2 linked regions of the Canis lupus familiaris genome follow. The protein of the gene in region 1 binds, or shares a complex with, the protein of each later gene. Links are inferred from orthologs where the notes say so. Each region holds a gene or a part of one and is shown in the gene's direction. Other genes may lie near its edges.

Region 1 (3,510 bases):
GTAAGATGCTGTGCGTGTCGTACCCTCCGAGGCTTGCTGGCCCGAGGGGGGGGTCAGGGGTCCCGCTCTGTGGGTCAGTTCAAGGCCTGAGCAGCTTAAGTGGCTCCGACCTGGGGTCGCCTTGCCAGACCCATTCCAGCCACCCTGCAACCAAAGAAGTGTGAGCCCAGAAGACTTCGAGTGCACTTCTGGTTGAGCCATCCCCGGTGATAACCTGCTGGGAAGTGAGGTCAGCTCAGGGTCCCTTGGCCACATCCCAAGGGGAGGGCCAAGTGGAGGTGCCATCGTTCTGACCGACCAGGGCCTGTGTTTGCTCCCGAGAGCACAGCTGGCACAGCTGCGTCCTCAGCTAGAACTCGTGGGACGTGCTCAGGGGTTCCTCGGGTCCCCGCCTCCAGCAACGGGGGCGTACCTCAGGGCCTGAGCTGCTCCGGCCCCCTGGCCTGGGGCCTCCCACCCAGGACCTCTGAAGCCCTGGCTATGCCCTCAGAGGTCACATGCCCAGATCCCCCCTTTCGACCCAGCCCACCTAATTGCCCGGTACTGCGGCGCTCAGGTGGTAAGCCTGCCCCATCACTCCTGTCCAGGGTCACGAAGAAGAAGAAGACCGGCAAGAAGAAGAAGGCGAGGTCGGATGAGGAGGCTAGCCCCCTCCACCCCTCCTCCACCCAGGACGGCTGTGCCCGCCGCGGGGGGGATGGTGACAGCCTTGTCAGCAGCCCAGGCCTGGGGCGGGCGTCCCCGGACGCCACCTTTACGCCCCCCCAGGAGGAGGGAGAGGGGCCCAGCAGCACAGCCGAGAGCAGCGAGCTCTCGGAGCCCGGCCCGGTGGGCCTGCTTATCCCCGAGATGAAGGACACGTCCATGGAGCGCTTGGGGCAGCCCCTGAGCAAGGTGATCGACCAGCTCAACGGGCAGCTGGACCCCAGCACCTGGCGCTCCCACGCCCAGTCCCCAGACCAGTCCTTTCGGGCCGGCTCTCCCGGGGACGCCCCGGAGAAGCCACCATGTTGCGACTTTAGTGAGGGGCTTCCAGCCCCCATGGACTTCTACCGCTTTACCGTCGAGAGTCCAAGCACTCTTACATCAGGTGGCAGCAACCATGACCCTGCAGGGCCTGGCCAACCGCTGCATGTTCCTGGTAGCCCTGAGACTGCTGGCCAAGAAGAGGGAGGAGGAGGAAGAGAGGGACAGACGCCTGGGCCCCTAGAGCGCGCCCCGAGGGAGGCCGGGGGGCCAGAGCCCCGGGAACTGGACCCTGAGTCGCCCCTGGTCCGGGAGGGGCCTGTGCCTGAACCGGAGCCGGGGGCCCGCGAGGCTCTTTGCCAGCTCAAGCGAGACCGGCCCAGCCCGTGCGTGAGCAGCGCTGAGGACTCTGGGGTGGATGAGGGGCAGGGGAGCCCGTCGGACACGACCCACTCGGCAGAGTTCAGGTGAGGGGGCCCCCCGGGCGGCCGGCCTGACACTCGCCCCCGGCGCCCCGCGGCCCGCGACGGTGGGCATCTGCCCTCCAGATACCCTGAGCGCAGCCGTGGACGCCCCGGCCTGGGCCGGGAGGCGGGGTGGGCTGGGAGTGTCCCCGCCACCGCCACTGCGGCTGCGGTCAGGGGCAGAGCCGCCCGCCCCTGGCCTAGCCTGACACCCTCCCCACGCGTGTCCCTCTCTCAGAGTGGACAACAATCACTTACTCCTGCTGATGATCCACGTGTTCCGAGAAAACGAAGAGCAGCTCTTCAAAGTGAGTCCCGGGAGCTCACGGACGGCCGAGGCGGGAGGCGTGCTGGCCGGGCCGGGGCGGCGGGGGCCGGGGCGCCTGACCCCGCTCCGTGTCGGCCCCGCAGATGATCCGGATGAGTACCGGGCACATGGAGGGCAACCTGCAGCTGCTCTACGTGCTGCTCACAGACTGCTACGTCTACCTGCTTCGGAAAGGTGCCTGCCGCCCCGGGCCCGGCCAGAGGCAGAGGATGAGACTGACTCCCTCCCTTTCTCTGCGCCCCCCACCCTGGCTCTCGGCCGCCTGGTGGTGACCGAAACACCCCAGCGGGTGCCACCGGCCGTCCCGGCAGCCCCGTGGGAGCCGGGGCCTGCCTGCCACGAGCCCCGCGCCCTCCGCCTCCTCCACCGTGTCAGATCGCAGGGCAGGGACGGGTCCTCTCTCAGAGAGGCCAGGTCTTAGACATGGGGCAGGGGGAGGGAAAAGAGGCCACTGCGAGTTATAGGCATCGGGGTCTCCTCTCTCAGGGGCCGCGGAGAAGCCATACCTGGTGGAAGAGGCTGTTTCTTACAATGAACTTGACTATGTGTCGGTGAGTGCAGGCTCTGCAGTTGCCATATGCTGTAGGACAGGGCCCCTCGGGCGCCCACCCGGCCACCCACCGTAGCTGCAGAGGAGGCGTGTCCTGCCTTGGCCCCAGCGCCCCCGGGGTCAGGGCGTCAGCTTATCTCTCGAGCAGCTTCTACAGGTGATGCGGGGGATAAGAACCGAGTCTGAGATGCCTCTTCATCCACCATATTTCTGACCATCCCTCCCCAGCTCTCGGGGGCTCTCCCTGCGGCCACTCCAGGGCGTGCTTCCTCCCTCCCCAGCAGCCCTCACCTGGCCGGGCTGCCTCTTCCGCAGCAGCCGAGCCCCGTGCGCATGTGAAGCTGTTGTTTCCGGCAGGTGGGCCTCGACCAGCAGACGGTGAAGCTGGTGTGCACCAACCGCAGGAAGCAGTTTCTGCTGGACACGGCCGACGTGGCCCTGGCCGAGTGAGTGACATGCCCCTGCCCCCCCTACCTCCCCTGGCCTGGAGCCCCCGCCCCTAGGGATGGAGGGTGCAAGGTAGGAAACAGAGAAGTGGAGATCAGGTGTGTTCCCTCTGGCACCTGCTGGAAGCGTGCAAGCACACTGACGGACTCACGTCATCAGCTCAGGTGACCTCAGACCCTGTGTGGCCTCCAGAGAGGACTGGCCTGAGGGCTGACGTGAGTTATCAGCAAGAACACGAGTCCGGCTGCTGGGCCACGGGGGCCATGGGTGCCCCCCCCCCCCCCGATGCCTTCATACAAAAATTACTGGTAATGAGATCGTGTCGTTGTACTGACTTGGGTCCCACCCACTCCGGTTCCGCTGCACCACCGGGGTTGGTCCTCCCTCGCCGGCAGCGCCCGGGCCCCTGGCCACTGGGAATGGCCTTTTCCAGGTCATCGTTTGAGGCCAGTGATCGCTGGGCATCACTGCCCCAGCTGCTGCCCTGAGCTCTGGCTCCAGCCAGCAACCTCCCTGAAGTTTCTGTGCCCCCAGGCCAGAATCCTGTCCAGTTGAGAGGCAGGCCTCCCCGCTGCCACCCCCCCGGGGCCTCTGACAGCAAACCCCACTCCCTGTGTAGGTTCTTCTTGGCTTCTTTGAAGTCCGCAATGATCAAAGGCTGCCGGGAACCACCTTACCCCAGCATCCTGACTGATGCCACCATGGAGAAGCTGGCACTGGCCAAATTTGTGGCCCAGGAGTCCAAGTGTGAGGTA
Region 2 (4,125 bases), on another chromosome or scaffold:
GGATCCCCAATTTAAATTTTTTTGTATATTTTTTATTGGAGTTCAATTTGCCAACATATAGCATAACACCCAGTGCTCATCCTGCCAAGTGCCCCCCTCAATGCCCATCACCCAGTCACCCCAACCGCCTGCCCACCTCCCTTCCACCACCCCTTATTCATTTCCCAGAGTTAGGAGTCTCTCATGTTCTGTATTTCTCACTGATTCTTTCTTTCTTTCTTTCTTTCTTTCTTTCTTTCTTTCTTTCTTTCTTTCTTTCTTTCTTTCTTTCTTTCTTTCTTTCTTCCTTCCTTCCTTCCTTCCTTCCTTCCTTTTTCTTTCTTTCTTTCTTTCTTTCTTTCTTTCTTTCTTTCTTTCTTTCTTTCTTTCTTTCTTCTTTTTTAAATATTTATTTATTTATTTATTTATGATAGACATAGAAAGAGAGAGAGAGAGGCAGAGACACAGGAGGATGGAGCAGGCTCCATGCACCGGGAGCCTGATGCGGGACTCGATCCCGGGTCTCCAGGATTGCGCCCTGGGCCAAAGGCAGGTGCTAAAACACTGAGCCACCCAGGGATCCCCCTCTCACTGATACTTTCACTCATTTTCTCTCCTTTCCCTTTATTCCCTTTCACTAATTTTTATATTCCCCAAATGAATGAGACCATATAATGTTTGTCCTTCTCCGATTGACTTGCTTCACTCAGCATAATACCCTCCAGTTCCATCCACGTCGAAGCAAATGGTGGGTATTCATCCTTTCTCATGGCTGAGTAATATTCCACTGTATACATAGACCACATCTTCTTTATCCACTCATCTTTCGATGGACCCCTAGGCTCCTCCCACAGTTTGGCTACTGTGGACATTGCTGCTAGAAACACCGGGGTGCAGGTGACCTGCCGTTTCCCTGCATCTGCATCTTTGGGGTAAATCCCCAGCAGTGCAATGGCTGGGTCGCACACTCGGGGTTTTTTTAAATCGGTTCCCCCTTGATACAACACTTAGGGCTTCCCATCTTTTGCGACGACCAAAAATGTAGGAAGAGGTCTTCGCTGCATGGCGAGTGGCTCGCGCGTTGAAGACTTTCCGCGGAGAGCCGACTGTCCATAAACGGTTGCAGCAAGAGCGAGCTGACCCCTGTTAGGAGCCAGCCAGCAGCGCAGGTGGGGAGCCCTGGGGCCGCTCCCAGGGCCGCTCCCCGGTACGCGGCGCTTCGCGGAGGCTCCAGCAGGTGGCGCTGCAGGCGGCAGCCGCGCCCGGCCGCCCGGGCCACGTCGCTCTTGCCGTGGGCGCCGCCGGTGGCGCGGGGACGAGCGTGGGGGGCAGGGCGAGTCATATGACCCGCTCGGCTTCCTGGCTCCGGCCGCCGCCGCCCGCCCGTGTCCGCCAGTGGTGCGCCGCGGCCCCGAGGAGCCGTTGAGGGGTCGGGGCTGAGGCCCGCTCGAGTGGAAGCCGTCGCTGCCGCCGCCGCCGCCGCCGCCGCCGCCCGCCCGCCCGGCCGCCCGCGCGTTCTCCCTCCCGGCCGCCATCATGCTGGCGCTCATCTCCCGCCTGCTGGACTGGTTTCGCTCGCTCTTCTGGAAGGAGGAGATGGAGCTGACGCTGGTGGGGCTGCAGTACTCGGGCAAGACCACCTTCGTCAATGTCATCGCGGTGAGTGCCGCCGTCCGCGAGTCCGGCCCGGCGCCGGCCCGAAGGCCCGGGCCGGGGCTGCCGTCAGCGCGACGGGGCTAATGGGAGTGGGACGAGGGGAGGAGGTCAGCCGTTCCTGCCCCCTCCGCGGGCTGGGGCCGGGGGCCGGGGGCCGGGGTTCCCGCGTGCTGTGGTGCGCCGCGCCCGGCCGCCGCCTTCTGCAAAGGGCCGGCCGGGTCCTCCTCGCGGGCGGGGGCTTGGAAGGGGCACACGTTGGCCTCGTCGCGCCTGTAGGGATGGGGGTCTGCGCATCGGGTTTGCTCCGGGGCGGGGGTGGGGGGACACCTGAAGGCTTCGCTCCAGCCTGCACTTCCCCGAAGGGTGGGATTTGGCGAGCTGTCAGCCCCGTGAGAAAGCGTGAGGCTCGGAGCGTCTCTCAAGTGGCCGCTCGGGACGGGGAGCGCCGTGGTGCGGGGAGCAGCAGGCCGGCGCGGGGCGCCTTCCCGAGCACCGCGGACGGGATGTCTCCCTGTAACGCAGTTTACTGGTTTTCAGTGGTCCCCCTGGGGGCGGAGAGCAAGTTCAGCGCTGCCTGGGCTCGCCGGTAGGGACTGGGGAGGGGCGCTTCCAGCCCGTCCAGTGCTCGGTGGTCCGCAGCATTTATTAAGCCAAGCAGTTAAGGGGGGGGGGGGGGGCTTCTGCTTCTCCAGGGAAAGGGTGTCTAGGAGGGAGCTTGCCCTGGGAACCTGTATTGCACGCAGTGTGGTGCTTATTTAGTCAGCCTCGGTTGAGTGGAAGGATGATGATTGAATTTTGCTTGGGTGGTTAGTTGCGGGGAAGGAATAAGAGAGAAAGATGCTCTTCCATCTCAGTTTAGAGGCCCGGAGTTGATGTGACTCACTTGTAGCTGATAGGTGCTCGTACTTGTCAGGCATGAGCTTTGGAACTGTTTTAAAGAGAGAGGGCAGCAGTTCTTCCATCTTTTAGAGATGGTGGTTGAAATCCTTATTTCATAGACCAGTGGCCCAACTGGTTTGGTTACAGGAATGATTCAAACACAGCTCCCTTGTGGGAGAAAATATGTAACGTGTGACTCTTAGTCCTGCAGTAGTGGAGCAGCAGGAGTGAGTAAGACTTGAAGAAAAAGACGAGCAGAGATCCAGACTTCCTTTGAGGAACGTTGCATATAAGTATAAAAGAAAATTTGCCTACTTGTTTGGCTCCTCTTTGGCTCCTCTAGTGATGTGGTGGTGGTGGTGATGTTTTGGGTTTTGTTTTGGCTTGGGATGACTAACTTTTCAACATATATAGTAGAGTGGAAAGTATATGATAGCACCAAAATTAGTTTGAAATCCCTGTGGAGGGATCCCTGGGTGGCGCAGCGGTTTGGCGCCTGCCTTTGGCCCGGGGCGCGATCCTGGAGACCCGGGATCGAATCCCACGTCGGGCTCCCGGTGCATGGAGCCTGCTTCTCCCTCTGCCTGTGTCTCTGCCTCTCTCCCTCTCTGTGTGACTATCATAAATAAATAAAAATTAAAGAAAAATCCCTGTAGATTAAATATTCATACTAGAGCTTTTATAGGATATGGGAAAGACTTAGTTAACTGTAAATTTTCTGGTGTTCTCTTGAGAGATAAGAATTGGAATCTCCTTGTAAACCTGATTTTTTTTTTTTTACAAGACTGAATTAATATATAGTGTAGATGTAGGTGTATTACTACAATTAATTGTTGTATTTGTTGCAGAGTAGTTATTCTTGGGAAACTTGAAAAAGTTTAGTAAGTCTTTGAAGAACTTCTAAAGGCCTGAGCATGAAAATTATGCTTATTATGTTCTTTTTTTTTTTTTTTTTTTTAAGATTTTATTTGTTTACCCATGAGAGGCAGGAGAGAGAGGCAGAGACACAGGCAGAGGGAGAAGCAGGCTCCATGCACCGGGAGCCTGATGCAGGACTCGATCCCAGGCCCCAGGGATCACCGGCAGAGGCTCAACCACTGAACCACCCAGGCGCCCCTTATTATGTTTTTCATAGATGGTGTAGTTTATTATAATGAGCAAGAACTTTGAAGTCAAGGAACTCTGGGTTTGCAATCTGGCTCTTCCACTCAGCAGCCTTGTATCTTCTTTCAGTCCTCCTTGATTTCTCATCTATTAAATAGAGATAATAATATGTTTCTTAAAGAGTTGTTCTGGGAAGTAAATGAAATGACACATAGTAAGTGACTAGCACCAAGCCTGCCCATAGAAGGGGCTGGGTAAGTGGTAGCTGTTGTTATTTGTAGCCAATACATTGCTTCTTTAATGCAGAAACAGTGTTTTGAAAAATATTCAGAAGGGAATTAGCTGGGTTCATTTCCTTCTTTGAATCTGATTTATCCAAATGTGTGCTCCAAGAGTGGATTTATGGACTGTGGCAAATAATCATATCATGTACTCTCCCCCCCCCCCCCGCCCCAATTTAAAAAATATATTAGATTATTTTAACAGCAGAGCTTCTGGAACACTGTT

What was found.
Region 2: the proteins of PLEKHM2 (region 1) and ARL8B are in contact, whole or in part, in a crystal structure (PDB 8JCA), measured with the Homo sapiens proteins. The link is inferred for Canis lupus familiaris from reciprocal best matches to the Homo sapiens genes PLEKHM2 and ARL8B. Residues at the interface, in NP_055979.2 of Homo sapiens: His70, Phe71, Thr72, Arg73, Arg74, Glu75, Glu103, Ser105, Glu107, Ser108, Tyr109, Arg111, Leu112, Glu115, Glu147, Phe148; in NP_060654.1 of Homo sapiens: Glu22, Thr52, Val53, Gly54, Phe55, Asn56, Met57, Lys68, Trp70, Arg77, Phe78, Arg84, Tyr85, Arg87, Gly88, Val89.

Annotation. Positions count from the first base shown.
Region 1 is NC_049223.1:81,354,728-81,358,237, reverse strand, and holds part of PLEKHM2 (pleckstrin homology domain-containing family M member 2), read left to right. Parts: intron 1-587; coding exon 588-1,433; intron 1,434-1,668; coding exon 1,669-1,738; intron 1,739-1,841; coding exon 1,842-1,932; intron 1,933-2,244; coding exon 2,245-2,309; intron 2,310-2,665; coding exon 2,666-2,754; intron 2,755-3,374; coding exon 3,375-3,507; intron 3,508-3,510. UniProt on the Homo sapiens protein: Plays a role in lysosomes movement and localization at the cell periphery acting as an effector of ARL8B.
Region 2 is NC_049241.1:12,598,813-12,602,937, reverse strand, and holds the start of ARL8B (ADP-ribosylation factor-like protein 8B), read left to right. Parts: upstream 1-1,317; 5' UTR 1,318-1,515; coding exon 1,516-1,638; intron 1,639-4,125. UniProt on the Homo sapiens protein: Small GTPase which cycles between active GTP-bound and inactive GDP-bound states.